Cricetulus griseus: one gene and its partners. The main gene of each other region encodes a partner of the protein of the gene in region 4 in a complex. Links are inferred from orthologs where the notes say so. Each region holds a gene or a part of one and is shown on either strand. Other genes may lie near its edges. The genes, in order: Pfdn2, Polr2e, Uxt, Pfdn6, Asdurf, Pdrg1 and Wdr92.

Region 1 (2,957 bases), on a different chromosome or scaffold from region 4:
TAGCCCACAGGTTTGCATCCTGGAACTCTTCGTCTAAAGAACGTCAGAAAGGCACATGGCCAAGCCTGTTTCGGCAAACCCACACAGCGTTCTCGTCAGAGCTCCTGCCCCACTTCAAATACTTATTAAATTCCAATCTGAGAATCAACATTTTGTCTCTGAATCCTTTTTAGGAGGGCACTTAATAAGTAGACACCTTTACTTGCAAGGGAAAGGCCAAAGTATAAGCATTTCTGATACTGGGAGCCATTGACCTGGCAGAAACAAAACCTGCAAATCATATATTATTTTTTGTTTTATTTGAAACATGGACTCACTATATGTAGCCTTGGATGGCCTGGGACTCATTATGTAGACCAGGCTGGCCTGGAACTCAGATCTGCCTCCTGTTGTATTCCAAGCACTAAAATTAGGGCATGGGTGCCGCCATGCCCAGCTGTATGCTATCTTTTGCCCTCAATGTGGCCGGCCCTAAATGAGAGAAAGTTTCAGGCTACTGCTAAGCATTCTGACCAAAACATTTAATTAACAAAAAAATATTACAATAGCACAATAGCAGAGAAAATAATAATAATAATAATAATAACAACAATAAAAAGAAATTAGAAGTGGGAATCAGGGTTAAAAAAAAAAAAATTCAGAGGCTTTAGTTCCTAAGAGACCAGCACTCCTGCTGAGCTGGACTTCGCCCCAGCCCCTTCTGAGTTTTCCTTGGCTGCTGGCTTCTCATCTTCCCCCATAAGACGAATGTTGTGCTTTTCCCGAAATTCATTGAGTTCTTTCCCCTTTGCCTGAAGCTGCTGTGACAGTGTCTCGATGATCTTCTGTATCTAGAAGGTAAGGAAAAGAGGTTATAGAAGGATTGCACGTCTCCCTTCCCTGACCTGGAATGGACTATGATTAGAGGAAGTGAAACAAGATAATACCAATCTCACCTTTAGCCAAGAATCAAGAAAGCCCAGACTCTTATGTGATTTCTCAAACATAGTGTCTTATACAAGGGAATCATCTGAGCTACTTATGTTATTTATTCTTCGACAATTTCATAAATGTATATAATATATTCTAACCACTGTTTCGTCCACCTCTACCGTGAGTCCCCCATCTCATAATCATATCTCTGTCTTGTTTTGTGACCCACTGTGTTTAACCAGGACCATCCTTGTGGGCATGGGTCTGCTGGAGCTATCTACCCGAGGATGAGCAACTTACCAGGGGCTGTATCACCGAACACAATGACCCCCCTCCCCTCCAGCAACCTTTAATTTCAACAGCTCCCCAGGGAGGGTGAGCTGCTTATTTTTAAAATATCATTCATCATACTATGGTTTCTTCTCTTAGGTCACATTTTTTTTTTTTTTAAGCACTGATTTATAGCTAGCTGGGGCTGGCTTCAAACCCAAGATTCCCCTGACTCATCATAGCAAGTTAATCACCAATGTATGCCACCCAGTCAGTACTCTTTCTCCTTTTAAAATGTCACTCATGGTATCTTTAAAGGCCTGGTTCAGTTATCCAAAGAGAGCCTATGAAGTTGCATTTTAAACTGATTCTTGACTGGAGGTGTACCTCAGTGGCAGAGTTCTTAGACCTTTCATTATTCATAAGGCCCTGGATTTGATCTGCAGCACTGTTAAAACTAGTTCTTCAGGTGATTTTGGTTCAGGTATCCATGGACTACACTGTGAGAAACACTGCTCTACCCACCCTCCTCCCAGCTCAACCACATCAAAGAGACTATGGAAAGGGCACACAGCCAACAGCTCCTCATGGAAGGAGTTGGGACTCTGTAAACGTATAAAGTGCACAGACTAACAGACTGTAGACTATCTTCAACATGAATTTCTGCCCGGACTTTCCTCCCTCACATTCCCTAAATCTCTGGTCACCCCCGTTTAACCTCTTGGTTGCCCAAACTCCTCCTGGGGAATCCTTGCTCACCTGCTCTTTGTTGCCTTCCAAGGCAGGCAGCACCTCTTTGACAGTCCGCTCTACCAGCACGCCGCCAACCATCCGGTAGCACCTGCGGGTCTCATCCACTTCCTTCAGGGTATCAATCACTAGGCTAGGGTAGGAGAACAAGACCCCAAAATTCAGCACCACTCTACTGCAACCCTCCCTCAAAAAGGTCCATCCAATTGTTCTATTGTTTCTCTGACTGTCTTACCTGTGTTCATTCAATTCCATCTCTAGCTCAGCAGCTTTGGATGCCAAGCCCCTCTGTTCCTGCCGAAGGCGATTAAAGCCAGCAATTACCTAGGAGCATGAGAGAGAAAAGATGAGAGATGAGACAGTGAAAATGCCAGAATGGCAAGGTAGATTTTTTATTCCCCCCATGTATTCATTTATTCTATGTTTATGAGTGTTATGCCTGCAAGTCTATATGTACGTGTACTGTGTGTGCCCATAGGCCAGAAGAGGGCATCGGGTCCCCTGAAACTGGAGTTACAGATGGTTGTAAGCCACCACGTGGGTGTTGGAAACTGAACCTGTGTCCTATTCAAGAGCCAAGTTCTTTTAACCCTGAGCCTTCTTGCCAGTTTCCACCCCCCCAGAGGTTTTTATTTTTAACTCTATGGATATGTGTGTGTTTGTGCACACAGAGACCAAGAGAGGGGGTTGGATTCTGCGGCACTGGAGTTGCAGGCCTGATATGGGTGCTGAAAATCAAACCTGGGTCCTCTAGAACCCTATGTACTCAAGCACCAAACCATCATCTTCTCAATCTTTGCCTTTTGTTTAGTTTTTGTTTTTGAGACAGGGTTTCTCTGTGGCTTTGGAGACTGTCCTGGAACTAGCTCTTGTACACCAGGCTGGTCTCATTCACAGAGATCTGCCTGCCTCTGCCTCCTGAGTGCTGGGACTAAAGGCATGTGCCACCACCGCCCGGCTTACAGTTACAGGTAGCCGTGAGCTTCTGGGTGTGGGCACTGGGAACTGAACTCTGGAAAGAAGGG
Region 2 (4,061 bases), on a different chromosome or scaffold from region 4:
AAACTGCTGGATCTCAGACTCAACACTCCCAGTATATTTTTTCTTTTTGAGACAGGGACTTCTTGCATCAGTGTTCTCAACCCATTGGTCCTGACCCTTTGAGACCATAGGAAAACATGAGTATTTACATTATGACTCCAAACAGCAAAATTACAGATAGGAATGTTAGGGTTGGGGGTCACCACAACGTGAGGAACTGTTTTTATAAAGGGTCACAGCATTAGGAAGGTTGAGAACCACTGCTCTACATAGCTGTCCTAGCACTCACTGTATAGACCAGGCTGTTCTTGACCACCTGCCTCGTCTGTGTCTGCCAGGTTCTGGGGTTATGGGCATATGATGCCACGCCTATCCCTGCACCCCTAATTCTCACAGGCCCCAGGACCTCAAAGGTATTGAAGGCAACAGACTGTCTGGGGAGACCAGGAGGCAGCTGCACAAGAAGGGCTCAGGCTCTTTAATAGCACCCCTCCCACTTTCAGAAGTGCCTGGGCTGTAAGGCAGAAACTACACAACACAGCAGATGGGAGCCAGAGGGCCCAAGAGCTGGTGCTGGGACTCAAGGGGCAGAGAATGGACACCAACCAAACAAGGGAAGGTTTCCAGGGGAGGCAGGGACAAAAGCAGGCTGGCGACTACAGTAGTCCTGCAGGCAAGGCTGGGCCTGGGTGGTACCCACCCTCACTGGCTGGACAGAGAGCAGGAAGACCACAGAGGGAGGGCTGTGACATGTTACCTTAACTGGCACCTGAGCCAGGGACTGGGGAATGCCACCAGAATTATGGGACCCCAGAATCAGGCCTCTGTTACTGGTCCAAGGGGCCTCACCTGGGAAGAACACAAACATCTGGTCTGTGGGATCATCGTTGTGGGCCACCAGCACTGTCAGGTCTGTGCGCCTGGGTCTTCCTTCACTGGGTTTGTCCCCAAACTGAGCCTTGAACTCCTCAAGTGTCTGGTCCAGCTCATCCTGGGTCACCAGGTAGCCACGGTCATGACACAGCTGCAGAGACAAAGAATCACCTGTCTTTAGAGAGGAAATGAACACTCAGCATGAACTCCGGGACTACAGTGCCAGACCTATCCCTGAACAGCCTGGGCTGCTCGGGGATAGCATGAGGAGGAGCACTTAAGTGACCCAGCAGTACTGGCCAAGCCACAGTCTGGTCCCCAACCAGGCCCCACCCCACCCCAGCCTCACTGGGCAGGCTAGGGTAGATCCCCTGGCAACTTCCACCTCTCAGTGCCCCCACCCACTCTTCCTGTTTGGTCTTAGGCGTGATGAGGGAAGAGTAGAGTGTAATCCAGCATCGGGTTGAGGGGCAGGCCTGAGAGACCAGGCCCTGGGGTCCACCCAACGCAAAAATTAAAACTATGCAGGCCTCTTTCTCAACTGGGGTCTGGTCTGTCTCTTCCCTCTTCGTCTCCTTCTTTTTGTCTTTTGTTGTTCAGAGACAGGGTTTCTCTGTGTAGCCCTGATGTCCTAGAACTCCCTCTGTAGAACAGGTTGGTCTTGAACTCACAGAGATCCGCCTGCCTCAGCCCTCTGAGTGCTGGGATTAAAGGTGTGGACCACCACTTCCCAGCCAACCTAAGTTTCTTGGGACAGGGTCTCACAATGAAGCCCTGAGTGACTTCAAACTTTCAAATAGGCCAGGCTGGTCTTGAACTCAAGAGACTGACTGGCCTCGGGCCCAAGAGTGATGGGATGAAAGGTATGTGCTACCAGATTAGTATTTTTACCTTTTCTTTATTTTGGTTTCTTAAGACAAGGCTTCTCTACAAAGCCCTGACTGTCCTGGAACTCGCTAATGTAGATCAGGCTAGCTTCGAACTTACAGAGATCACCTGCCTGTGCCTCCCCAGTGCTGTCGTTAAAGGCTTCTCTCTGTCACTACGCCGGGGCAAAACTGTTTTTTGTTTTTTTCAAATATTGTTTTTCACTCTGTGTGAAACAGTCGAGAAAAGTGCGTCAGACCCGCTCAAACCAGGGTTACAGATGGTTGTGAGCTGCCGTGTGGATGCTGGGGCCTGGGCTAAGTGGGTGGAGGGCTGCCCCGCAGGCAGAGAACCCAGAGTCTCTCCCTCCGGCCCCCCATAAACACGGTGTGAGCACGCAGAGAACCCCGAGTCTCTCCCTCCGGCTCCCATAAGCGCGGTGTGAGCGCGCAGAGAACCCCGAGTTTCTCCCTCCAGCCCCCCATAAGCGCGGTGTGAGCGCGCAGAGAACCCCGAGTCTCTCCCTCCGGCCCCCATAAGCGCGATGTGAGCGCGCAGAGAACCCCGAGTCTCTCCCTCCAGCCCCCCATAAGCGCGGTGTGAGCGCGCAGAGAACCCCGAGTTTCCCTCCTCCGGCCCCCATAAGCGCGGTGTGAGCACGCAGAGAACCCAGAGTCTCTCCCTCCGGCCCCCCATAAACACGGTGTGAGCACGCAGAGAACCCCGAGTCTCTCCCTCCGGCCCCCATAAACGCGGTGTGAGCGCGCAGAGAACCCAGAGTTTCCCTCCTCCGGTCCCCATAAGCGCGGTGTGAGCGCGCAGAGAACCCCGAGTCTCTCCCTCCGGCCCCCATAAGCGCGGTGTGAGCGCGCAGCAGCCCTCCCGAGGCAGGGTGCGGGCTGGAGGCCGGCCGGTCACTCGCCTGCATGATGGTCTTGCGGATCTTCCACAGCCGGTAGGTCTCCTCCTCGTCGTCCATGCTGCCGCCGTCGCCCGGGAACCGCTGCGCCTGCGCCGAAGCCGAAAAGAGCTCCTCCCACTCCTGCGCACGCAAAGCGTCTGCGCGGAACAACGGAAAGCCCTCCCCTTCCCGCTCAGCGAGCTCTGTTCTGTCTTCCGCCTGGAAACGCGACTTCCACCTTAGGCTGCGTAGCGGGCAGCCCCGGCGATCCGCTGCGCGAGACCACCATCGAGAAAATGTCGCGATACTTGGCCGTCACAGCTTAAGAGTTCTCGAGAGGGAACTGGGCGCGTAGGCCACGCCTTTAACGCCGCCCTGGGGAGCCAGAGGCAGGCGGATCTCTGAGAGTTCGAGACCAGCCGGGTGTGCAGAGCGACAGGACCGCCAGGGCTGTTATACAGAGGAACCCTGACTCAAAAAACAAAACAACAACAAAAAGAAATGTCTATGTATCTTTTTCCTCTTTGGGGGGTGGGGTGGTTCACTGTGAGCCCTGGCCGGCCTGAAATTTGATATATAAACCAGGTTGTCTCAGTCTAGAATTAAAGGCGTGTACCAGCATGGCCAGCACTGGAAAACCAGATGCTCGCCATACCTCCCATTCTGTCCCGCCCGAGCTTGTCCTCAGAGTCCGCAGGTCATCTCTAATTCCTGCCTGGGAACCTGTGCTGACCCTGACTTGGAAAGGCAAGTTTCCAGCAAACTAGCGAGGCCCCCACCAAGTCTGTCTGACCACTGAACCCACTGCATGGGCTGCAAAACTGGGCTGCGCCTGGGACACCCTGGTTATAGAAGCCACAAACGCAGAGTAAGGGGATAGAGACACAATACGTTTTTGGAAAAACATATCTAGATCTGGGAGCAATGGTGGGTGCATTTGGTCCCAGCACTCTGGTGGGCAAATCTCTCTCTCTGAGCTCCTGACCAGACCCTGGGGGTTTTTGTGGGGTTTGTTTTGGTTTTTGGTATGGGGAGGAGCCCTTGTCATTAACTTTCAGGTGACAACAACCCTCTCATTCTTTCGGTGGTTGGTTTTGTTTTGTTTTGAGACAGGGTTTCACTGTGTAGCTCTGGCTATCCCAGAACTTGTCTGTAGACCACACTGATCTCTAACTCACAGAGATCTGACCATCTGACTGCCTCTGTCTCCTGAGTACCGGGATTAAAGTCCTGAACCACTACTTTCAGACAACTCTCTCATTCTCGGTGGTAATGAATGGGCAGAGCCTGAGTACCTGGGACATTAGGAAAATAATTGGTGCCACTGAGGGGAGTCAGTCCAAAGTGTAAGGATACATGCAAGTGCCTGTCTGTAGGAGTCCCTCCTCTGATCTTACCTCCTGTGGTGGTTTGAAAGGAGGCAGCCTCCAAAGGAATTGTT
Region 3 (4,293 bases), on a different chromosome or scaffold from region 4:
CTCTTTCGGTCAATGAACTTGAGAGCTTCAGCCAGTGTCAACTCCAGGAAAAAACCATATCCCAAGGCCACATAGATGCGGGAAGTATCTGGGCTGAGGAAAGAAGTCAGAGGAAGTGGAGGAAGTCTTTATTACCATTTAGCACATTGTATAGTTGAAGGTGTTTCCTATTCCCTCCAGTTCCCTAAAGTTAAGGCTCTGTAAGGGCCGGTATTTCATGTTCATTCACTTCACACCCACAGCATGTAGCTTACATCCTAGTGCAATATAAAAGTGACCAGAGTCTGGTATATAGAACATATTAAGAAATACTTGTTGCATGAAAGAAGGAAGAAACTCGGAGGGGAGGGAATACACTCACACCATTGTGTCAACGAAGAAGTTACAGCCCAAATCCACCTGCATATATAACTCCGAGTGCTTAGTTTCCTGTAGGGCCAGGAGAAAAGAAGTAGGTGTCAGTGGCCAATTTTTAAGGCAGGAAAAAGGTTTTGTTTTGGGGTTTCTCTTCCCATCTTCCTTCTTTGTACACATATACAAACTGATACCCAATTTAAAAGCCTTTACCTGGAGTCGCTCAATTACATTTCTCAGTTGAAGGTATACAGACAGCTGCTCATATACCTTGTCTCGATGATCCAGCACCTTTCTGATACGTGGAAATAGAAGAGTGATCATTAGGCAGCCCTATTCCTCTTGAGATATCTCACATCATGGCCTAAAAGGCATTTTAAGCCAATTATGGTAGTTCACGAGTGTAATCCCAGTAATTGAAAGACTGAGGCAGGAAGATTATGAGTTCAAGACCAGCCTGGGTTACATAGTGAGATCCTGTGTTACACACACACACACACACACACACACACACACACACACACACACACACACACACACACACACGGAGACATGAGAGCGAGCGAGCGCATAGTATAGACAGAGAAAGACACACCAAGTATTTCAATAAATACAAGTCAGACTGTATTTCATCCTGAGCTCTAACTCTTACTAGCAATGTGACTTTGGCATTAGGAAACCTATTTGGGACTTAGTTTCACAACATATAAAATAGAGATGACAGTATTACCTCATAGGAACCATTAGACTCAAGTGTTTACTATAAAATGCCAGCCAAATGGTAAACACTGTATCCTTTCTATCCATCACTATTACAAATACTGCATTGTACTCAGTGCCTTATGCCAATTAAAATGCTCCATCTTCACCCTACACATACCTTCCATGCTCACACTGCTCTAGTTCCAAACTTTCTGTTCACATTAATAATGACAGCAATACTAATCATCTAATTATTGAGTTTTTAGTATGTTTCATCCACCGGAGCTAAATTCCTTTTCAAAACTATCCAGGTTATTTGTTTTTTATTTTCTGAGACAAGAACTGAGTTTCCCAGGCTACTTGTGAGTACACAAGACAGTTCTTTCCTCTCAGCCTTAATACAACTGTAGTATAGTTGGGTTTATGTAAAGTTTTAAAAAGTATTCTTACTTAATGTATTTATTTTGTGTACATGTATGGGTGCCGTGGTACACCCATGTGAGTCATAGGACAGCTTTTGGGAGTTTTTTTGTTTTCACTATGTGGATCCCAGAGAGCTAGCTCAGGACATGGAAGCAAGGCAATCCATCTTGCTGGCTCCATTGTCTTCTTTTTTTGAGACACAGTCTCAGAGCCTAGGCTGTACTCATCTTTGAAATATAGCTGAGGATGATCTTGAGCTCTGGATCGTCCTGATTCACCCATCCCAAGTACAGGGATTACAAGCCTGTGTCACAACACTGGGCTTTATTTTATCAAAACCATGTTCTACTGTTAAGGCTGGCTTGAACATCCTGGCTAAAGAAATGAATTTTTCCACCTCTCCACTAGATAGGACTACTGACATGCACCACAGAGCCTGAGCCTGGCTTCATTCTAATTTTTTCCCCCTTTTAGAGACAGTCAAGTTTATATTCCAGGCTGGTCTCCAACTTCGAAGATCCTCTTGCTTCTGCCTCCTTCGTGCTGGAATTACAGTCCTGTGTTATCAGTCTAGGCTTTGGGTTACATTCTTTACCTGGGTAGACACATTTAAAACTCAAAACCACCACATTAAGAAGGCTCCATAAACTTTCCCATTCCACAGATGAGCAAAGTTTATAAAGCACAGAGAGGAGAGGTGATGTACAACTTTTTCATAAGTAATGGCTAAATGGCCCAGTCAGAAATGTCGTGGGTTTTTATGACTATTTTAATCCGACGAACGACGCCAGAGGCTCCACTACAAGGGCCAAGTTCCAACCAAATCGCAGCCCGGACGTCAACCCCTCTTCCCGGCCAATCCGAAAGTTTTCCCGGGATTCTGTCCCACCCACCACGTGGAATTTCTCAAATGTCACGCCTAGAATCTGCGTTGTCACTCACTGCAAGTCTCGCTGCAGTACGTCACTGATAAAGGCCTCGTACCGCAGCACTTTCTCTCCTACAGTATCCAAGGCCCGCCGTTTCGGGGGTGTCGCCATGATAGGCTTCCTGGGGAGTGAGGAGGGAGAAAAACCACGTTGAGTGCTCCTGTTTAACTTCACAAAGTTCTCTCCAACCTCTTAACGTTGGGTATGACTTCTTTCGGCTCATGCTACGGGGTTCCTCCTTCTGCCCAACCCGACTCTAACACGCAGTCACTCACCGGTACCCAAGCGCCGTGCTTACCTTAGGGCCACCTAAGGTTAGAATGAACCGCGGTTTCCGGGTGGCGCGGGTGGATGACGTGTTTCCAGCATGGAGGGGCGGTCCAGAATGAGAGGAGACCGCCTGAAAGTGGAGCGCTGAGGCGGGATCTTAAGGAAACCCTGGAGAATACTAGGAAGTCAGAGGGCGGGCTGTCTGCTAGCCGGCTAGTGGTTGACAGCCGCGGGTAGCTGTTTCGGGTGAAGTCTAATGAGCTTTGCCGGGTTCTGAGGGAGGTTGGACGCACAGGAAGGTAGGGAGAGGGAGTAAATCGTTTACAGCTTGTTTGAATCGCGCGCGCATGTTTGAGCGAGCGCGGCAGCGGTACTGGAGTTAAATGCAGTTGTGAGCTCCCATGATGTGGGTGGTAGTAACGGAGTTCACATCCCCTGCAAGAACCTTTTGTGCTCTTAAATGCCGAACCATTTCTGTAGCCTTCTCGCCGGTCTTAATTGTTTTTTTTTTCTTATTTTATCTTTTTTGTCTGCATGCGTGTGCACTATGTACGTGCAGTTCCCGTGGAGGCTAAAAGAGGGCGTCGGATCCCCTGGAGCTGGAGCTACTGAATATTTGTGAGCATTGGGAATCGAACCTGGGGCGTCTACAAGAATAGCCAGTGCTGTTAACCATAGATCCATCTATGTAGTCCCCACCTTTTTTTTTTTCTTTTAAAATCATTTCTATTCTTTGAGAATTTCATAACATGTATGCAATGTATTTTTGCCATATCCACTCCCTACTCCCTCCTTCCAACTCCACCCAGACCCCTCCTACCTCATTTCCCTTCCACCTTCAAGTCCTCTTTAGCAAAACAAACAAACAAACAAACCTCACTGAGTTCACATAAGCATTTGATAATTTAAAAAGCACAAGATTGCCTATAGACTAGTAAGGATTATGGTACTAATCTATAAAGAGGGCAGTATATCCTGTGGCAATTGGTAAATTTGAATATTGCTTATTTTATAAACACATACGCCGGGCGTTGGTGGTGCACGCCTTAAATCCCAGCACTTGGGAGGCAGAGGCAGGCGGATCTCTGTGAGTTCGAGGCCAGCCTGGTCTCCAGAGCCAGTGCCAGGATAGGCTCCAAAGCTACACAGAGAAACCCTGTCTCGAAAAACCAAAACCAAACCAAACCAAACCAAACCAAACCAAAACAAAAAACCCCAAAACATACACGTATATTTCACACACATGGTTTTGGGTTTCATCCTCCGTAAAAGGAATGGGCAGGAGCACATAAAAAATATTTAAACAGACACAAATTTTAAGAAGTTCTTGGATGACTTCTGCTTGGTTGCTTGCATTCCATGATCCAGACTTAGGCAGAGACTGGCAAAATGCTGTGCTTAATCACCCCACATCATAGTTATATGGTCCATCATTGGAGTCCTCTACTGAAGATGGGCTAACTTGTAGTTAAGAGTGAATAATTCTCTCTATTTTTATTTAAATGTTTAGCAAGTGAAGGGCTGAGCCTGGAGGATAACCTAGATGCTAGACTCCCCTAAATGTTTTTCCCTTTTGAAGGTCCTAGAACACTTACCTCTATCTAGAATGCATTTC
Region 4 (3,172 bases):
CAGGAGGATCTCTGAATTTGAGGCCAGCCTAGTCTACAGAGCGAGCGAGATCTACGATAGCCAGAGCTACACAGAGAAACCCTGTCTCAAACAAACCAAAACAAACAAGTTAGATTCAAACCAATGCTAAGACAGCGGTGAAGACAAGCTAATGATCTAGGGCCCTTTGGGGACAAGTGCTCTTGGGTGACCACATCATATCCTGGGCTCTCAGGCTAGAGAACTGGGTTCTATGGCTAAACTGACACTTAACAACACACTACATTGCATCCTAAGGTTATATTTCCCATCTCAGGGTTGCACCAGCCAACATAAGGGAAGATAAAGGGTTATATGAACAGGCAAGAAACAGCTTGAGACATTTCAGACTCAAAAGAAGGCACATAGGCAAGAAGACCCGGATTTTAGTTCTCAGCACCAGGAAAACCACCACTGAAACACGGCCAGAGATTCCAGTGTCAAGAGCTCTATCTCAGGGAAAAAGAGTGTGTACAAGGCACTGGTTTTGTTTACATTTTATTGGCTATTCTAGTGTAGACCCTGGAGCTGACTCAGCCCTCCCTCCTCTCCCCCTTCCATGGGGTCAGGCCTTCCCAGGAGCCTTTGCTGCCTGGGCTCGCTGGAACTCCTGCTGCAGCTGAGCAAGGGTTTCCCTCTGTTGCTCTGACTGCCTCTCAAGGTCCCGCAGCTGCGATTCGTAGCGCTTACTGAGGAGGGAAAGGGGAGACAAGCAGAAGAGAGATCAGTGGGGGCTCACTGTTGCGCGGCATTGGGGGACTGATGGGAATTCCGAGGTTTGGGGGATGGGGGTGGCACACTGAGGGCTGGTGAGATGGATCAGTGGGTTGGACCGTTCTCCTCCGAGGCTGACACTTCAGTCTCCAGAACCCACGTGGTAGGAAGGAGCAGGCTGCCGCAGGCCGTCCTCTGACTTCACATGTGTGCCACGGACACATGTCCCCCCACCCCCCACACTCGTGTAACGTGGAAGAAAGGCTTAAGCGGGGGCGCCTTTAAGCCCATCCCTGAGGCCAGCCTGGTCTACACAGGGAGTTCCAGGGGAGCGGGGCGCTATGGGGAGCTACCCAGCACGGGGTAGGCACTCACATTTCGGCGGTGATGTAGTCCAGCCTCTTCCCCACCGTGGCCCGAGCCTCCCCTAGCTCCTGTTTGACAAGCACGGGCCCCAGGAGCTTGAAGACCACGTTGGATCCATCCAGCAAGGCCAGTTCCTGGAGAGGGGATGGGACGGACGGCTGATGAGCTAACCGTGCCCGGCCGCGTTCCTCTCGGCCCCGGCGCCCCAGGTCCTCACCTCCTTCACGATGTTATTTTCTGTTAGCTGTGCCTCGAGCTTCTGCCTCCCTGACATGGATTTGCTCAAGTCTGAGGTGGTGAGAGGAAACGCATGGTTAAAGGCATCAGACGGGCCGAGAACCGCACCCAGCACGGGCTCGAGACGTCACCGGGTCTGCAGCGGAGAGGCTGGGTCGGTCGGTGGTGGGGACGAGCAGGGCCCCCGACGCCAGGGGCGGCCCGCAGGGCCCCCGAGGGAGCACGACGTCTCGTGGGGTGTGCCTGAGCTGAGGGCGGACGGGGCAAGGCCACGCCGCCTCCGCTCTCTCTCTTACCCTTCTGCAGCTGCTGGTATTTCTCCACTTCTCCCTGCAGCTTCTTCTGGATCAGCTCGGCCATGGCGGGGCGGGGCGGTGAGGAGGGCGAGCCTCCGGGGCGGTGAGGAGGGCGAGCCTCCGGGGCGGTGTGAGGAGGGCGAGCCTCCGGGGCGGTGTGAGGAGGGCGAGCCTCCGGGGCGGGGCGGGGCGCTCGCGGGGACTCGAGCGAGCAGAGGAAGGCACCCGCGCCCCCCTCTCTGCCCTGCGCGTCCGCCGGCAGCTCCTCGAGGCTCCGCAGCTCTTCCTCGTCCAGGAGACACCCCTGGGAAGCGGGGGGCGAAAGCAGAACCCCAAACCCTCCCGCAAGCCAGACCCCCAACCTCCTCACGTTATGCCCACTGTCTAAACGCACCCGGAAGTAGACAAGGCATGCCGGGACAGAGACGGCGCCGGAAGCTGCGTTCTGACCTGTGGGAAACTCGTCCTACCGAAAAGACTGCACCCGAGGGGTTTTATTAGGCAAGGCAGAAAAAAAGGAACTCGTCGCTACCGGGATTCGGGGCCCAGACTTGCCTTTTAGTCCTCATTTGGTCCTCGGGCGAGCCTCTCCGCTCAGTCTGGCACAGGCGTGCCCTCACTCAAGATGGCGCCGGCGGCTTCAGACTCCCGTCCGGCGGTGATTGGGTGAAGGCCGTGGGACGCCCGGAAGTTTCTGAGAGGGCCGTGGGGCTGCCGAGGGCAGTTTCGCACGTGGATCGTTGTTTGGCGTCGGTCACAGCCGCGATGGAGACAGCTCCGAAGCCGGGCAGGGGTGGCCCACCCAAGGAGGACAAGCCCCAGGCCAAGAGGAAGGTAGCGGCTTGGGTGGAGGCGAACGCCGCCCTCGGGCTCGGGGCTTCCGATCGGGCTCGGGCTCGGGGCTTCCGATCGGGCTCGGGCTCCGGGTCCGGCGGGTGCGAGCCCTTGCCTCCTCCTGTGCCCCTAGAAGCCGCGGCGGTACTGGGAGGAGGAGGCCACCCCCGCCGCAGCCGGCGCCTCTCCGGGGCCGCCCCGGAAGAAGGCGAGGACTCGGGAGCCGCGACCCCCGAGGTCAAAGAGCGCGCACCCCGCCAAGAAGTCTCGGCTCCGCCAGAAGCCGCGGGCCCCGAAGGACGCCCCAGACCCGAAGAGGAGGCCGCAGCGGACCCTGTCTGGGGTGAGCCTGGGGCTGACAGGGTGGCCCCGCGCCTCTGAGGACCAGAGGAACCGGGCCCATCGAGTCTGCCCGTCTCCTTCCCCTCGCTAGGCCCAGGACCCGTTCCCGGGACCCGCCCCCGCCCCCGTGGAGGGCGCCCGGAAGTTCTGCCGAATTGACAAGTCCAGAACCGTGAGGCCGCGGGGACCGTGGGGAGGCAGGGACTGGAGGCTGGGTGAGGAGGTGGGTGGCGCCTTGTCTGCTGGCGGCCTTGCTGGCACCTCACGGATGCTCGCTCGGTGCGCCAACCTTGGCAACCATGCCGTAGCTCCCGCATTCGAAGCCGAAAACCCGGAGCAAACTTGAGACGGCTGAAGCGCAGGAG
Region 5 (4,225 bases), on a different chromosome or scaffold from region 4:
AATTTACAACATCAGGACATGATTTGCATAGTGATGCTCAACAATCCTATTATCACTTATTTTTGAGCTTCAGTAATATTCAAAACAGCAATTTATCAAATATAAACAGATACAAAGCCACTCGATACTTGCCACCTAGAAAGGGCTGTTTGCATAGTATGTGCCATTATGTCATGTTACTGTCAGTGACAAAGGCTACCACAGCCACAGGGTTATAATTTACTCTTATAAAACAACATGGAGACCTTTTCTGATCAATGAAGGTTCTTTATATTACCACACGGGCACAATACTATAGTTCTTTGCTGCTGTCAAACTTCAGACATTTGATAGAATGCCAATTCATGATTATTACAGATTGCCACTGCAGTTAAATGCCCATGTGTTTTCACGACTGTTTGTTTATTCATCAGTTACTCTAAAAGAAGCTCCAGGTCAAGTCTCATACAGCGTTTATACATTCTGCCAATCTGGTCTCCAGAAGTTTTGTATTAATTTGCCTTAGTTCTAATATTTCATAAATGACAATATCAGAAATGTTGAAAATGTCAGTCATTTTAAAATGCTTGAAAGAGAACAAAATCATTTCTTCATTTAAGATATATTTTTTTAACAGTAAAACTACACATGAGACAGCAGTTTATTTATGAACATGTCATAAAAAAGGAATTAAATAGGTTAAGTTCTTGGAGCATTAAAGTTTGCTGTGGAAAAGGAAGTAATTGTTTCTTTTTTTGTTAAAAATGTAATAGGGAAAGAATCCTGTCAACTTTGAGATTTACTGATACATGCAGAAAAACATGAAAAACAAACTAGGATACTTTAGTTTTAAATTAGTATGTTAGAATTTTGTAATTTTAGCATAAATGATCTAATTCCTGATTTTAATATACTGTATACTATTCCGGATTCCAACAGTAACTTACCCGATTCTTCTTCAGGTTAGAAAGTTCATCCACAAGAATTTTTTGTTCTTTAATCTATTAAAATAAAGAAAAACCTAAAGTAGACGTTTTCAAAGTATGTTTGGTGAGGAAATTCTGAATAATGGGACTGGGGGCTGTCACATACCACCTGTCTAAATGGACACTCTACAGGGCAACAACACCCAGCTGGACTCCGTGGAAAACAGCTGGAGAAGGAAAAGCTGACTTAGACTTGCCAGCTGCCAGTTACCACATGGCTTATACCTTAACCAAAGTGAGCCACTGTTCACCAAAATCAATACCCACCCTTTAATTAGTTTTATAAAGTTTTGTTGTACACTTTTTAAAAAAAGAAAATGAATGTGTTTCTCCCCTTCCCCAACAACAATTACTTTTCATGTATGTACTAGATGATAGCCAGACATTCAGATAAATAGTATTGGATGCCCTACCTGGGGAGATACAGCATCATTTTTCATCTTTGCATCATTCTGTTTGCATGGCAAAGACTGCATACTGCTGTTATCATTAAGCTAGGCTTGTTTGTGACCATCAAATGAATGCCTAACTAGGCAATAACTAATTTAAGTAACCACACACCATCACACACAGTAATAAGAAGCAAGGTCTTTTTTAAAACTCACACCCGCCCTAGTGAGTATGCATCCTTATGTCTCCACGATGGCAGAGGTGAGAGTTATAGTGATGAACTACAAAGCCACACGAGTTCATCTTCCTTGAGACTCAAGTCTGCTTGTATGGTGTTTTATGTTCATTTTAGGAAAGACAGGTAGACATCTCACTTTAGCTGACACCAAAGAAAACTGTGATACAGTGGGAATAAGGTCACTAACCCAAGATGTCACTTGGGACAGAAAAAAAAAAATGTAGAATTTAAAACGTTTAATACTCTCCACTATACATGTTTAAAGACTGTCTGTAATTGGAAGTTAAGATTAATGGTATAGTTCAGCAAGGTGGTGCAACCCTGAAATCATGGCTGTCAGGCAAGAGAATAAGGTCATGCTCCCCTCTCAAACAACAGTGTTTGCGCCTGGCCTGAGAGACACGAAAGCTCAGGAAGGAAGAAAGGAAGGAAGAAAGGGAGGGAGGGAGAGAGGGAGGAAGGAAGGAAGGAAGGAAGGAAGGAAGGAAGGAAGGAAGGAAGGAAGAAAGGAAGGAAGGAAGGAAGAGAAAAGGGGAGGGAGGCAGACAAAGATTAACTTGCAAGAGTCCTACTTAGAGACCATCAGATAAATGTATTTTAGGATCACAGTGGAGGACACAGGCAGCTGGGGACACCCTGAGTCAGAACAGCCAGTGACAGCGTCTGGAAGGACACTGGCAGATTTCTAAACTTTCGGGATGGATGTCAAGGATGGCCCCCAGGCGGGTGCGTAGCTAACAGGGTGAAGCAGATCCACAGAGCAACAGATCCGCGTGAAGGGAAGGGGGACGGTAAGGGGACAGCCCCACCAAACCTCCGCCAGTGTCTCTCCCCCCCCCCCTTTTTGGGGGACAAGCTTCTGTGCCTCCCTCTCTGCAAGTCTGCAGGAAGGAGGGGCAGCCTGAGGCGGGTGCCAAGAACCGACTACGGAAGCGAGGAGCACGCCGCCGGGCTGCCGGGCGCCGCCGGGAACCCCAGCCGGAAGGCGCTCCCCGGCCACCCACCGCACCTTGCTGTTAAGGGCCTCCGTGCGTGCATCCGACTTGTAGGGGGGCACCGGCGCGGCGCGATAGTCTGCTCGTACCCCACTTCGGGGCATCTCCACGCCGGGTCGCACGCCGGTGAGCCCACGGGGATGCACGCCGGTGAGCCGCCGGGACGGAACCGAGGACAGGAAGCCCTGATCCGGCGTGCGAGCTCTCAGTGGACCCGCCCCTTCCGGCATCCCGACCAATGGAGTACGCACACTCACCCCTGCGCAGTAGAGGGCGGTTGGGGGAGTATGGGTGGGAGACTAGACATAGTTATGGGCATGCGCAAACTGGTTTGAACTAAAGGCACAATTGCCTGGTTGCGGAGTTTATGAAGGCTCTGTGTCGTCCCCTAGCGGATCCGATGTATAATAATAATAATAATAATAATAATAATAATAATAATAATAATAATTATTATTATTATTATTATTATTAAAAGGTTCAGGTGAGCTGAGTGGAGACATGAGTATCTGGATCAGTCCAGGTGAAAGCAAAGATATTTTGAGACCAGGTGTGGAGGGGTATAGAGAAAAAGGCATCCTTAAGGTCTAAAACTGAGAAGTGAGATGTCGGGGGGATAGTAGAGAGGAGTGTGTAAGGGTTAGGAACCACAGGATGGAGGGGCACTACCATAGAGTTACGGAGGTCCTGAACCAGACAAAAAGTCCCATTAGGTTTTTTTACTGCCAGTATAGGGGTGTTAAAGGGGGAGGAGGTAGGACGAAGTAGCTTTTTCCTTAGGAGGTCAGAGATAATAGGTTTAAGTCCCTTAAGGCTCTGGAGTGGGAGTGGGTACTGAACTTGAGCAACGTACCTAGAGGGGTCCTGTAACTGAATGACAAGGGGGGATGGTGTCTAGCCACAGAAGGGTTCTGGTAGACCTTGGGGTCTACCTGAGAGGCTGGTAAAGGAAATGACGTACTGGAACCTGTAGGGTGAGTAGCTAGGAGGAGGAGGAGGGGAGCCGCTGGCGAGTCTGGAGTTGGGCGAATGTGGGGAGCAAAAGAAATAGAAGCTCCTACCTTAGCTAGAAGGTCCCTCCCTAGTAAAGGCACAGGACAAGTCGGTATAACCAAAAATGAATGAGTAAGGGGAATCCCCCTAAAAATACAGCTAAGCGGTGGAGTCTGCTGAGGTAAGTAAGGCTGTCCTCCTACCCTGACAATAGGAAGACGAGACAGAGAGGTGGGTCCCCAAAACTCCTTTAGGACTGAGTATGTGGCACCAGTGTCCAAAAGGAAAGAGATAAACCGCCCTGATACTTTAATGTCCACCCGGGGCTCCCTTTCAGAGATGATGGTGGTCGGGTCAAGAGAGCCTGGGCCCTGTCATTCATAGTCCTCATCCATAGCCAGGGCTAAGAGATCAACTGGAAGGCCGTCTGTGTTTGATGTCCTCTTGTCACCTGGGACACGGGGACAGACCACTGACCAATGGCCTACTTCCTGGCATCTAGGACATGGCTTGCTTGGTGCATGGGGGTTCGGGCAACCCCGGGCCCAGTGTCCTTTCTGACCACACTTGAAGCATGGACGCTGCGGTACTCTGGCCCCAGAGGGCAAGGGATCCCGGGCAGATGCTGAGTCCAGTCAGACGGC
Region 6 (4,133 bases), on a different chromosome or scaffold from region 4:
CTGGGCTTCAGTGAGCCCCAGTTTGAGAATGTCCAAAGGCAGCTGTGCGGTGGAGCCCAGGGCCCCCACCCCCAGATCTGTGTCTGACCTATCCTGCTCCCAGCCTAAGCCTGCAGCTATAAAACTTAACAGTAATGACCCTATTTATACAAAAGAGGCCATGAAAATCAAGTGAGCCAGTGTATTAAGGACCTAAGTCGCCAGAAGTCAATAAAGGAGACTAAAAAGTGAACATCCGATCTGGGCCTTAGGGCTCAGTGAGTATGTGTTCACTCTGAAAGAATGAGGCCCTGGGTTCGAATCCCAAGCACCCACATAAATAAAAATCCAGACACGGTTGTGTGGGACTGTTACCTCAGCATTGGGTACATACACAGAGCTCACTGGCTAGCCAGCCTAGCCCAAAAGCGAACTTCTGGTTCAGTGAGAGGTTCTATTTCAAGGCAGGAAGGTGGAGAAAGACAGGAAAGCAGCTGACACCCTACTCTGGCCTCTGCATGTGTCTGCATGGACACAGGTGCCCCCACACTTACATGCATGCACCACACACACACACCCCCACACACACACAGCACATACACCCACACAAATGGCATACAGCTCAGTGGCAGAGCTGAGCGTGTGAGAGGCACTGGGTTAATTCCAGTTATATACACAGATAAGCAAAATGGCATCGGCGAGGCAAAAACTCCCAGGCCTCGCCTCTGAGCCCCCAGCTTTGCAACTGTACTCTTACTGACACTTCACTGCTCACCCTGGACAATTTCCAGCTCCTTCTGTGTGGGTCTCAGCTTGCTACTGAGGACACTGGATTCAACAAACGCAGCAGCCAGACGAGATTTAAAATGATTACTGTTTCCTTTTCATCTTCAGGAGAGAGAGAGAGTGTGTGTGTGTGTGTGGGGGGGTAATTTTTATCACCCATTATTTACAAACCAGAAGCTGAAAGTATCACCGGTTAAATATAAGTCTCCCTGCCACACTCGGTTTCTCGGCGTCGTTAAACAGGACTTAGGATTTCTGTGTCTCCAAAGCTCTTAACTCTACCACCCATAATATGTAACTATTTTCCCATCAGTGTTCGTTGTTTCCTACTGGGACGACATTTCTAAAGTCGGGATGTTTTACTCCTTGCTCCATCCAACGTGGTACACGGTGGATGCTCAACAACCCTTTGAAGGGAGAGCAAAGAAGGCAGCGCACTGGGCTGCTCCCTCAGAGACTGAAGGGGGCGCTCCTGTCCCGCTCCCAAAGCTAGACCCGCCCCTCCGGCGCCCCGCTGATGCGCATGCGCCACCCCTCTAAGGGCCCTTTTTTTTTCACTGCGCAGGCGCGCCGGAAGTCCTCAGCGCGGCGCGTGCGTGGATAGAGCAGAAGGGGCGTTGAAGCGGTGCCGAAGGTGTCTTGAGAGCTGTGTGTCGCCATGCTGTCCCCTGAAGCGGAGCGGGTGATGCGGTACCTGGTCGAAGTGGAGGAGCTGGCCGAGGCGGTGCTGTCGGACAAGCGGCAGGTGAGAGACGCGGCGGCGGCTAGCTTCGTAAGCAGGCAAGCGCGCGGGGTTCCGGAGCGAGCGCCTCCTCTGCGCTGGGCAGTAGCCTCCCTTTGACCCTGTCCCTGCGGGCCCCCCGGAACCTTACCCTCTGCATGCGGCTTCCCCGACCCCCATCGTGAGTCAGGTTGCTGAGACCCGAGCGGCATTTGGCTGGACGGTAGGGTGACGTGGAGTGGGGCGGGGGAGGCTGGAGGGCCTCGTAGACCCGAAAGGGGAGCTTGGCTCTGGATCTATGATTAAGTGGTGAGTCTCCAAAGGGAGTTCTGAGTGCTGAGAATGTTATCTTTGGATTTTGATTGATTGATAGGTTGGTTTAGACTCTAAACTTTAGAGGGACTCATGTGTCTTGGGGCTGGCCTCGAACTCACTGTGTAATCTCGGATAGCCTTGAACAGTCCGTGTTTGTCCGCCCTCCTGAGTTCTGGGATTATAGGCGTGCATGCACGGGACTTAGGTTTTAAAAGTCTTCTCTAGCTGCTAACTAGTGTGCAAAGAACCATTGAGATCAGTGGTTCTCAACCTTCTAATGCTGCAACCCTTTAATACAGTTCATGTTATGGGTACCCCCCCCAATAAAGTAATTTTCGTTGCTACTTCATAGTTGTAATTTTTTTTGGGGGGGGGAGACAGGGTTTCTCTTTGTAGCTTTGTAAACCAGGTTGGCCTCAAACTCACCAGAGATCCGCCTGCCTCTGCCTCCTGAGTGCTGGGATTAAAGGCATGTGCCACCACCTCCCGGAACCATAGTTGTAATTTTGCTGCTGTTATGAATTGCAATGTTTTGCAGTGATCTTGGGTGACTCCTGTGAAAGGGTTGTTCGACTCCAAGGGTCAAGACCCACAGGCTGAGAACCACGAATTTAGTTATCCAGATCTGGATTTGGACCAGATGTTAGTGATGGGGTGAGAAATATACTTTGGAAATGGTCTCCAAAAGCTGCCATAGTTACTCCTGTGGTCTATAGTGAGAAGGCCTCTGTGGTTCACAAGCAGCAGGATTCCTGTGGACTCCAGCCCCAGAGTCATTGCCTGAGTAGCTGTCATGGTGGTGTACGTCCATGTCTGGGGAGACTGTTAGATTTTCCTACAATAGCCTGTCAACAATAACTGCCCAGGGGAGACACTAAACTCTCTGATGACCCTGGTACATGCTCAGGTTTGAATTGGGCTGTGCAAATGATTCCTAATTGGTAAACTTTTTCCTAGCACCTGCTCTGGAGGAAGGAGGCTCCTGTACAGGCCGAGGGGCTGGCAACTGAGTGGGTAAAGAAACACGCTCATGCTTCAGTCCATGTTAACCAAGACATTGGCCTCCAGCCAGGAAGGATTCCTTGTCTCTTCAGGTTGGGGCGGGAGGCAGCTGAGTTCCTATCTGCTTCTGTTTTCAGATTGTAGACCTGGATACCAAGAGGAATCAGAACCGAGAGGGCCTGAGGGCCCTACAGAAGGACCTGAGCGTCTCTGGTAAGTTGTAACATCCTCACTGAAGCCCTGGAAACTGATGCAGTTCTCCTGTGAAGGCCTTTGTTGTCCCTGCTAGAGAGCAGGCAGGAGGCTGGGACTGTGTGACTCAGCCTCACAGGAAACGAAAACAGCTTGTGGGGAAGAGCGGGCAAACGTTGCAGGTCAGACATATGCTGTGATTCAGGATCTGAGCTGCTCACTTCAGTGACAGGCCATTAGCTTATCACTCATCAATGGCACACAGCACTTAGAAGCAATAATAGATCTGCCCTTATGTTCCACATGAGGAAAAGCAGTGTAAACATACAACTGAAAATTGTGGAAAGCTAAAGATGGAGTTGGCCATGAGTGGATGTTGAGACTGTCTAGGAGGGAGGAGATGGGGCTCTTTAGATGAGCCAGGTGGCTGTGACTTTGGCAGTGTGAGCAAGTGGGGGACAACCTGAAGCAGTTCTGGAAGGATGGGCAGCATTCAGGGCATAATGAAGGGCACTGACGTCCATTCCACTGGCTGCTTATCTCACCGGAGTAAAACCCAGAGTTGTCCTGCAGGATTGATTCCACATGACCCCGCCCCACACACTCCACCATGTTAGCCCCCACTTTCTCACCCACTCATTGACCCACTGGTCTCTTGGTTGTTCTGACACCAAAACACTGCCAGTTCTGGCTGTTGCCATCCCTCTGCCTGGGCTCTGCCCAGGTGTCTAGGGAAGATACCCCCCCCTTTCCTCAGTTCTCTGCCTGGATGTCACATCTGCAAAGAGCCCTTGTACCTCTCCTGATGCTTCCCATCACTTAGCACTATGTGGAAAAACAACTTGTTTATTTACTGTCTTTTGCTTTGTTATGAATTCCACAAGGGCAAGAACTTGTCTTGTTGGGCTATGTTCTTAGCATCCAAACAGTGCTTGGCAGATAGTCAGTGCTTCAAAAAGAAGAAATAAAACGTGTTGAAGTAATGTCTGTTTGCTATTTCAGAAGATGTGATGGTTTGCTTTGGGAACATGTTCATCAAAATGCCTCACCCTAAGACAAAGGAAATGATCCAGAAAGGTAAGGTCTCCTGGAATGTTCAAGGACATGGTCACTTCCCTACCAGTCATTATCCAGAATT
Region 7 (4,161 bases), on a different chromosome or scaffold from region 4:
AAAGCCACCAAAAGTACCAGCAGGGGGAAAATGGGGAGAAACAATCACGACTCGGTCTCCTACTCAAAAGGCAGGCTCAATCACGCATCTGTCTTTTATGCCTTTGAAATGCTGAGGATGATAGAATATCAAAACAGAAGAAGCACTGTGACCTGGGAAAACTAATTTGGCACAGGCGATATACTAAAGAAAGAAGTGATTTAATGAGAGAAAAATACATTAGTAACACATATTTCCTCCAAAAAGAGTATCACTAAAATTTACAGTACTTATACTGTGATTGGTACCTGCAATTACCACCTATTAATGTACATCCATGTAACACTTCCCACCTCTCATCAATTCAACACGCATTACAGAAGACAGTCACAGGATAAACTATATACTGGTGTGATCTCAGAGCCAAATTTAGCAGTGCAGCCAACGCCTGTGTTGAATACTATAACCATGAAGAAAACCACTTCCTAGCATAAGCTCTATGCAGGAAAATGCATTCATTTTATTTTCAGTTCTGAAGGAGAAAACTCGGTAGGCTGAGAAATGACTACCCTTCTGCTTACCCTGATTTCCACATTCCTTGACTTCAGGTTAAAGCGTATCTGAAGTCCCAAATGTTCTACTATCGGAGTAAATATCTTCATCCAGTTTTCTTTTAATGGCGTGTATCTGTTCGCGGGGACCGGGATTTTTCTCGTCTCTTCTTTCCCAGTCTGCAACAAAGCACACACACACACATATTCAGGAGGTGGCTGGAGACTTGCCGGCTGAGACTTCAAACCAGAAGGGATCCTTCATCCGGACGCCCGGCCCCACCCCGTCCCGCCTCGGTCCCCACCAGGAGCCGCTCGCCCGAGAGCGGAGGGAAGATCGGCCTCTTCGCCGGCAGGGCCTCCTCCGTGTCCATGCGGCTGGCGTCTCCGTCCTGTCCCGCCGCTGACAGCTGCTCCGCCTGTCGCTTCTTCGCCCGCCGGCCCCCTCTGTGTGTGACGGGAGTAAAGCCGTCCTCCGCCCCGGTGTTCTGCGTTTCCATCTCGGCCATGCTCGAACCAAGTGGGCACAACCGGCTGAACACGCGCGTGGTAATACTGCACACGCGCAAGCCTCCGCCAATCAACGTGAGGGCACCGCCCTTTTCTGAGGTGGGGCCCAAGTCGGGGGCCTCAGGCGGGATTGGTCCGCGTGTCTGAATGGCTGCCTTACGGTATGCCTGATTGCTTGTGTCGCCATACCGCCACGCGCTCGCAGCCGAAGCATTCTCAGCCTCTAATGTGTCTATGTGTAAACGTCGTGGTAAGGGCAGTAAGTCAGTTTGTGCCGTGTGTGGAGAAATATCCGGTGCGGCCTCGGCAGCTCATACGGCATTATCATAGGCACCCAAGCCCAACTTGCTAGAGCGTCCGGCTAGAGTGCGGCTAGGGAGGGACAAACCGCCCCTGCGATGTTTGCAGTCTGGTTTCCAGGTTAGCGTTTGTCTGCATCTGCACCATGTCCGCGTTTGAGAAGCCTCAGATCATTGTCCACATTCAAAAAGGCCTCAACTACACGGTGTTCGACTGCAAATGGGTGCCCTGCAGTGCCAAGTTCGTAACGATGGGCAACTTCGCTCGGGGCACCGGCGTTATCCAGGTGTACGAGATCCAGCGTGGGGACCTGAAACTGCTGCGGGAGGTGGGTGCAGCATCGGACTTCTGTTAGGGCGCGCGTGTTCTGGGGTCTGCATCACTCTTTGCCACAGCTTTGCTCCAACAGGGCCAGAAAGGAGGTTATAGACTGAGAAATACTTCGGACTTAAAACTTTGGCATCCCACAATCTCACTGGGGAACTAGTACCTTGGCTCACTGCCAGCCCCTTGTCCCGCCATCCTTGGTGCAGTCCGTTGCAAGGTTTCTGGGAAGTGAAGTTGAGATTTCATGTTTACGTTCGAGGACCTTTTAGGCTATTTGCAATTGTAGTCTGCTAGTACATATATGCAATACATGCAAGCAGAGTGAAGGAGGCACCGGGACACCTACGAAGTTTGTGGCGACAACTAAGTACCCCATCCTTTCTAGAACTATCACTTGAATGCCTGGTAGTCCCAGGCATGTGAAGGGCAATGTCACGGATCTTATGGAGTTTATTTACTGTTGGGGAGATAGTTAAACAGCCAAAACAAGAACGCATACATGTAAACCGAAATGCTTTTTCTAATAGACAGTTGAGCAAGAGTAAAAACAACAAATTTAGGGTGAGCAGAAACTAGGGAAAGTCAGAGTAGATCATGAGATTTCCAGAAGAAATAGGTTATGGGAAAGCTCTTTGATAGTGGTAGGAAGTAGTTTATTATCTTTTTAAAAAACCAAAAACACACACTGGAAGTGGTGGTGCACACCTTTGATCCCAGCACTCCCGGGAGGTAGAAGCTGGAGAATTTCTGTTTGAGACCCTGTCTGAACAATCACAAAACCCACTAAGAAAGATCATACACACACAAGAGGGGTAAGTAGGGACCGTTGCAAGGGCTCTAAGACATTTAACAGATTTAGTCTCCCTTTTCCTCTAAGAAAAACAGGACAAGACTGAAGGACTTTTAGGAGGATGGTACAAGACCAGATTTACAGGTTTTGTAAAAGGCTGCCAGTGAGCCAATTACAAAAGGATGAAAATAATTAACATTTCATTTTCTTTCTTTTTGAGATGAGTATTCTCTGTGTTATCCAGTCGGCCTCAAATTCACAAATCTCATGCCAGCCCCCAACAGTGGTCTGGGATTACAGGCCATTTGCTATGTTGCTGAGCTTTGGCTAACAGTTTTATAGTTTTAAAAAATTTTTAATTTGGATTGACTTAAAACAAATGACAAGTCTCATGAGATGTTGAGGGTTGGTAAGTATGCAAATAGTTGGCTTGAAGGAGGTGAGTTTAGGGCAGGTAACGGATAAATAAACTTTCATGAGAAGATATGTGAAGTGCCATCTCTCACTGAGCTTTGCTGACAGCCCGTTTTCAAGTTTAGTTCCTACTCTAGCCAGGTATTCAGCTTGGAGAATCTAAACATGGCTTGGTCTTTTCTCCCTTGCTTGTGTTCATCACTTAACTCACAGACACCTGTTGCTGTTCCAGCGGCCAGCTCAGAGTCTCTGATCTGCACTCCTATAATACTTTCCTTTTGTGCCAGAAATAAGCAAACTGTCTGATCTGTTGATTCTAAGTTGGACAACAAGGACAATGTCTCCTAGTGATTTGTAAGGACCAGCCACTCAATGCACAGTTATTAAAAGAATCGGAAATGAATGAACTTGGGAGTTTTAAATACTGGTGTAGGTTAAGGACTCTGGACATGGGAAACATTGGCATAACAGAAACTTTGAAGTGGAATGTTAGGAGCAAATGCCAGTCAGTACTCAGCCAGAAGCATCTAGAGACTGTGTTTTGTTTTCCCAAGAATTATGATACATTTTAAAAAAAATTTTGCAGGTTATTTATTATGCCCATTGATGTTTTGCCATGGTTGTTGGGTTCCCTGGAACTGGAATTACAGACAGTTGTGAGCTGCCATGTGGGTGCTGGGGATTAAACCTGGATCCTTTGGAAGAACAGTCTGTGCTCTTAACCACTGAGCTCTCTCTCCAGCCCCAAATTATGATACATGTATACATTTCAGTAATGGTTATTCCAAATGAAATAGTGTTCTCCTCTTCTAATTTCTGAAGAATTCTAGCAAGATTATATTGTATTTTCTTTAAATAAAAGTAATAAGTATTTATAAGAGAACATTTAGAAAATATAGGTAGGGCTAAAAAAGAGAGTATCACACATGATCTGAACCCCAGGAGTAACAACTACTGTTTTGGATGCTCTTCATTCCATGAGTTACTGAGGCTCCTATAGAGGTGCTGTATCAAAACAGAACCACAGGTATTTGAACAGTTCCTTCTAAAAAGCAAGCAAAACCTTAGAAACAAGGTGCCTTTCAGAACTTAATATTGTATTTGGGTGCAGCAGAAAAACATGCAGGTTAAATGCATGGACTGTGGCTCTCCTGTGTCCATATTTGGTTGCTAGTGACAGCTATGTAAGTTTTAAAATATCCATGTCTTGTTCCAACCCCTAGCAATGTGAACTTCTGCTGGTTGAGTTTTGTGAGTGCCAGAGCTGAGAACTGTTGGACCCAGTGGATT

Evidence for each region.
Region 1: Pfdn6 (region 4) and Pfdn2 share a complex: the UniProt entries of both Homo sapiens proteins name them as parts of the PAQosome complex. The link is inferred for Cricetulus griseus from reciprocal best matches to the Homo sapiens genes PFDN6 and PFDN2.
Region 2: Pfdn6 (region 4) and Polr2e share a complex: the UniProt entries of both Homo sapiens proteins name them as parts of the PAQosome complex. The link is inferred for Cricetulus griseus from reciprocal best matches to the Homo sapiens genes PFDN6 and POLR2E.
Region 3: Pfdn6 (region 4) and Uxt share a complex: the UniProt entries of both Homo sapiens proteins name them as parts of the PAQosome complex. The link is inferred for Cricetulus griseus from reciprocal best matches to the Homo sapiens genes PFDN6 and UXT.
Region 5: Pfdn6 (region 4) and Asdurf share a complex: the UniProt entries of both Homo sapiens proteins name them as parts of the PAQosome complex. The link is inferred for Cricetulus griseus from reciprocal best matches to the Homo sapiens genes PFDN6 and ASDURF.
Region 6: Pfdn6 (region 4) and Pdrg1 share a complex: the UniProt entries of both Homo sapiens proteins name them as parts of the PAQosome complex. The link is inferred for Cricetulus griseus from reciprocal best matches to the Homo sapiens genes PFDN6 and PDRG1.
Region 7: Pfdn6 (region 4) and Wdr92 share a complex: the UniProt entries of both Homo sapiens proteins name them as parts of the PAQosome complex. The link is inferred for Cricetulus griseus from reciprocal best matches to the Homo sapiens genes PFDN6 and DNAAF10.

Annotation. Positions count from the first base shown.
Region 1 is NC_048598.1:21,541,739-21,544,695, forward strand, and holds the end of Pfdn2 (prefoldin subunit 2), read right to left. Parts: intron 2,257-2,957; coding exon 2,168-2,256; intron 2,066-2,167; coding exon 1,942-2,065; intron 831-1,941; coding exon 654-830; 3' UTR 501-653; downstream 1-500. Other genes in the region: Klhdc9 (kelch domain-containing protein 9), read left to right, coding at 1-37. UniProt on the Homo sapiens protein: Binds specifically to cytosolic chaperonin (c-CPN) and transfers target proteins to it. Binds to nascent polypeptide chain and promotes folding in an environment in which there are many competing pathways for nonnative proteins.
Region 2 is NC_048598.1:100,836,432-100,840,492, forward strand, and holds the start of Polr2e (DNA-directed RNA polymerases I, II, and III subunit RPABC1), read right to left. Parts: upstream 2,801-4,061; 5' UTR 2,699-2,800; coding exon 2,642-2,698; intron 1,028-2,641; coding exon 829-1,027; intron 1-828. UniProt on the Homo sapiens protein: DNA-dependent RNA polymerase catalyzes the transcription of DNA into RNA using the four ribonucleoside triphosphates as substrates.
Region 3 is NC_048604.1:125,813,291-125,817,583, forward strand, and holds the start of Uxt (protein UXT), read right to left. Parts: upstream 2,801-4,293; 5' UTR 2,707-2,800; exon of another isoform or gene 2,530-2,706; 5' UTR 2,520-2,529; coding exon 2,422-2,519; intron 650-2,421; coding exon 568-649; intron 430-567; coding exon 362-429; intron 94-361; coding exon 1-93. UniProt on the Homo sapiens protein: Involved in gene transcription regulation. Acts in concert with the corepressor URI1 to regulate androgen receptor AR-mediated transcription. Together with URI1, associates with chromatin to the NKX3-1 promoter region.
Region 4 is NW_023276806.1:232,074,549-232,077,720, reverse strand, and holds Pfdn6 (prefoldin subunit 6), read right to left. Parts: upstream 2,006-3,172; 5' UTR 1,696-2,005; coding exon 1,632-1,695; intron 1,387-1,631; coding exon 1,316-1,386; intron 1,233-1,315; coding exon 1,108-1,232; intron 708-1,107; coding exon 584-707; 3' UTR 501-583; downstream 1-500. Other genes in the region: Wdr46 (WD repeat-containing protein 46), read left to right, coding at 2,397-2,465, 2,599-2,808, 2,899-2,979, 3,116-3,172. UniProt on the Homo sapiens protein: Binds specifically to cytosolic chaperonin (c-CPN) and transfers target proteins to it. Binds to nascent polypeptide chain and promotes folding in an environment in which there are many competing pathways for nonnative proteins.
Region 5 is NC_048595.1:402,525,087-402,529,311, reverse strand, and holds the start of Asdurf (ASNSD1 upstream open reading frame protein), read right to left. Parts: upstream 2,801-4,225; 5' UTR 2,693-2,800; coding exon 2,603-2,692; intron 981-2,602; coding exon 927-980; intron 1-926.
Region 6 is NC_048599.1:26,995,208-26,999,340, forward strand, and holds the start of Pdrg1 (p53 and DNA damage-regulated protein 1), read left to right. Parts: upstream 1-1,333; 5' UTR 1,334-1,423; coding exon 1,424-1,510; intron 1,511-2,940; coding exon 2,941-3,016; intron 3,017-3,997; coding exon 3,998-4,072; intron 4,073-4,133. UniProt on the Homo sapiens protein: May play a role in chaperone-mediated protein folding.
Region 7 is NW_023276807.1:89,068,134-89,072,294, reverse strand, and holds the start of Wdr92 (WD repeat-containing protein 92), read left to right. Parts: upstream 1-1,361; 5' UTR 1,362-1,485; coding exon 1,486-1,668; intron 1,669-4,161. Other genes in the region: RNA-binding protein PNO1, read right to left, coding at 561-710, 836-1,039. UniProt on the Homo sapiens protein: Key assembly factor specifically required for the stability of axonemal dynein heavy chains in cytoplasm.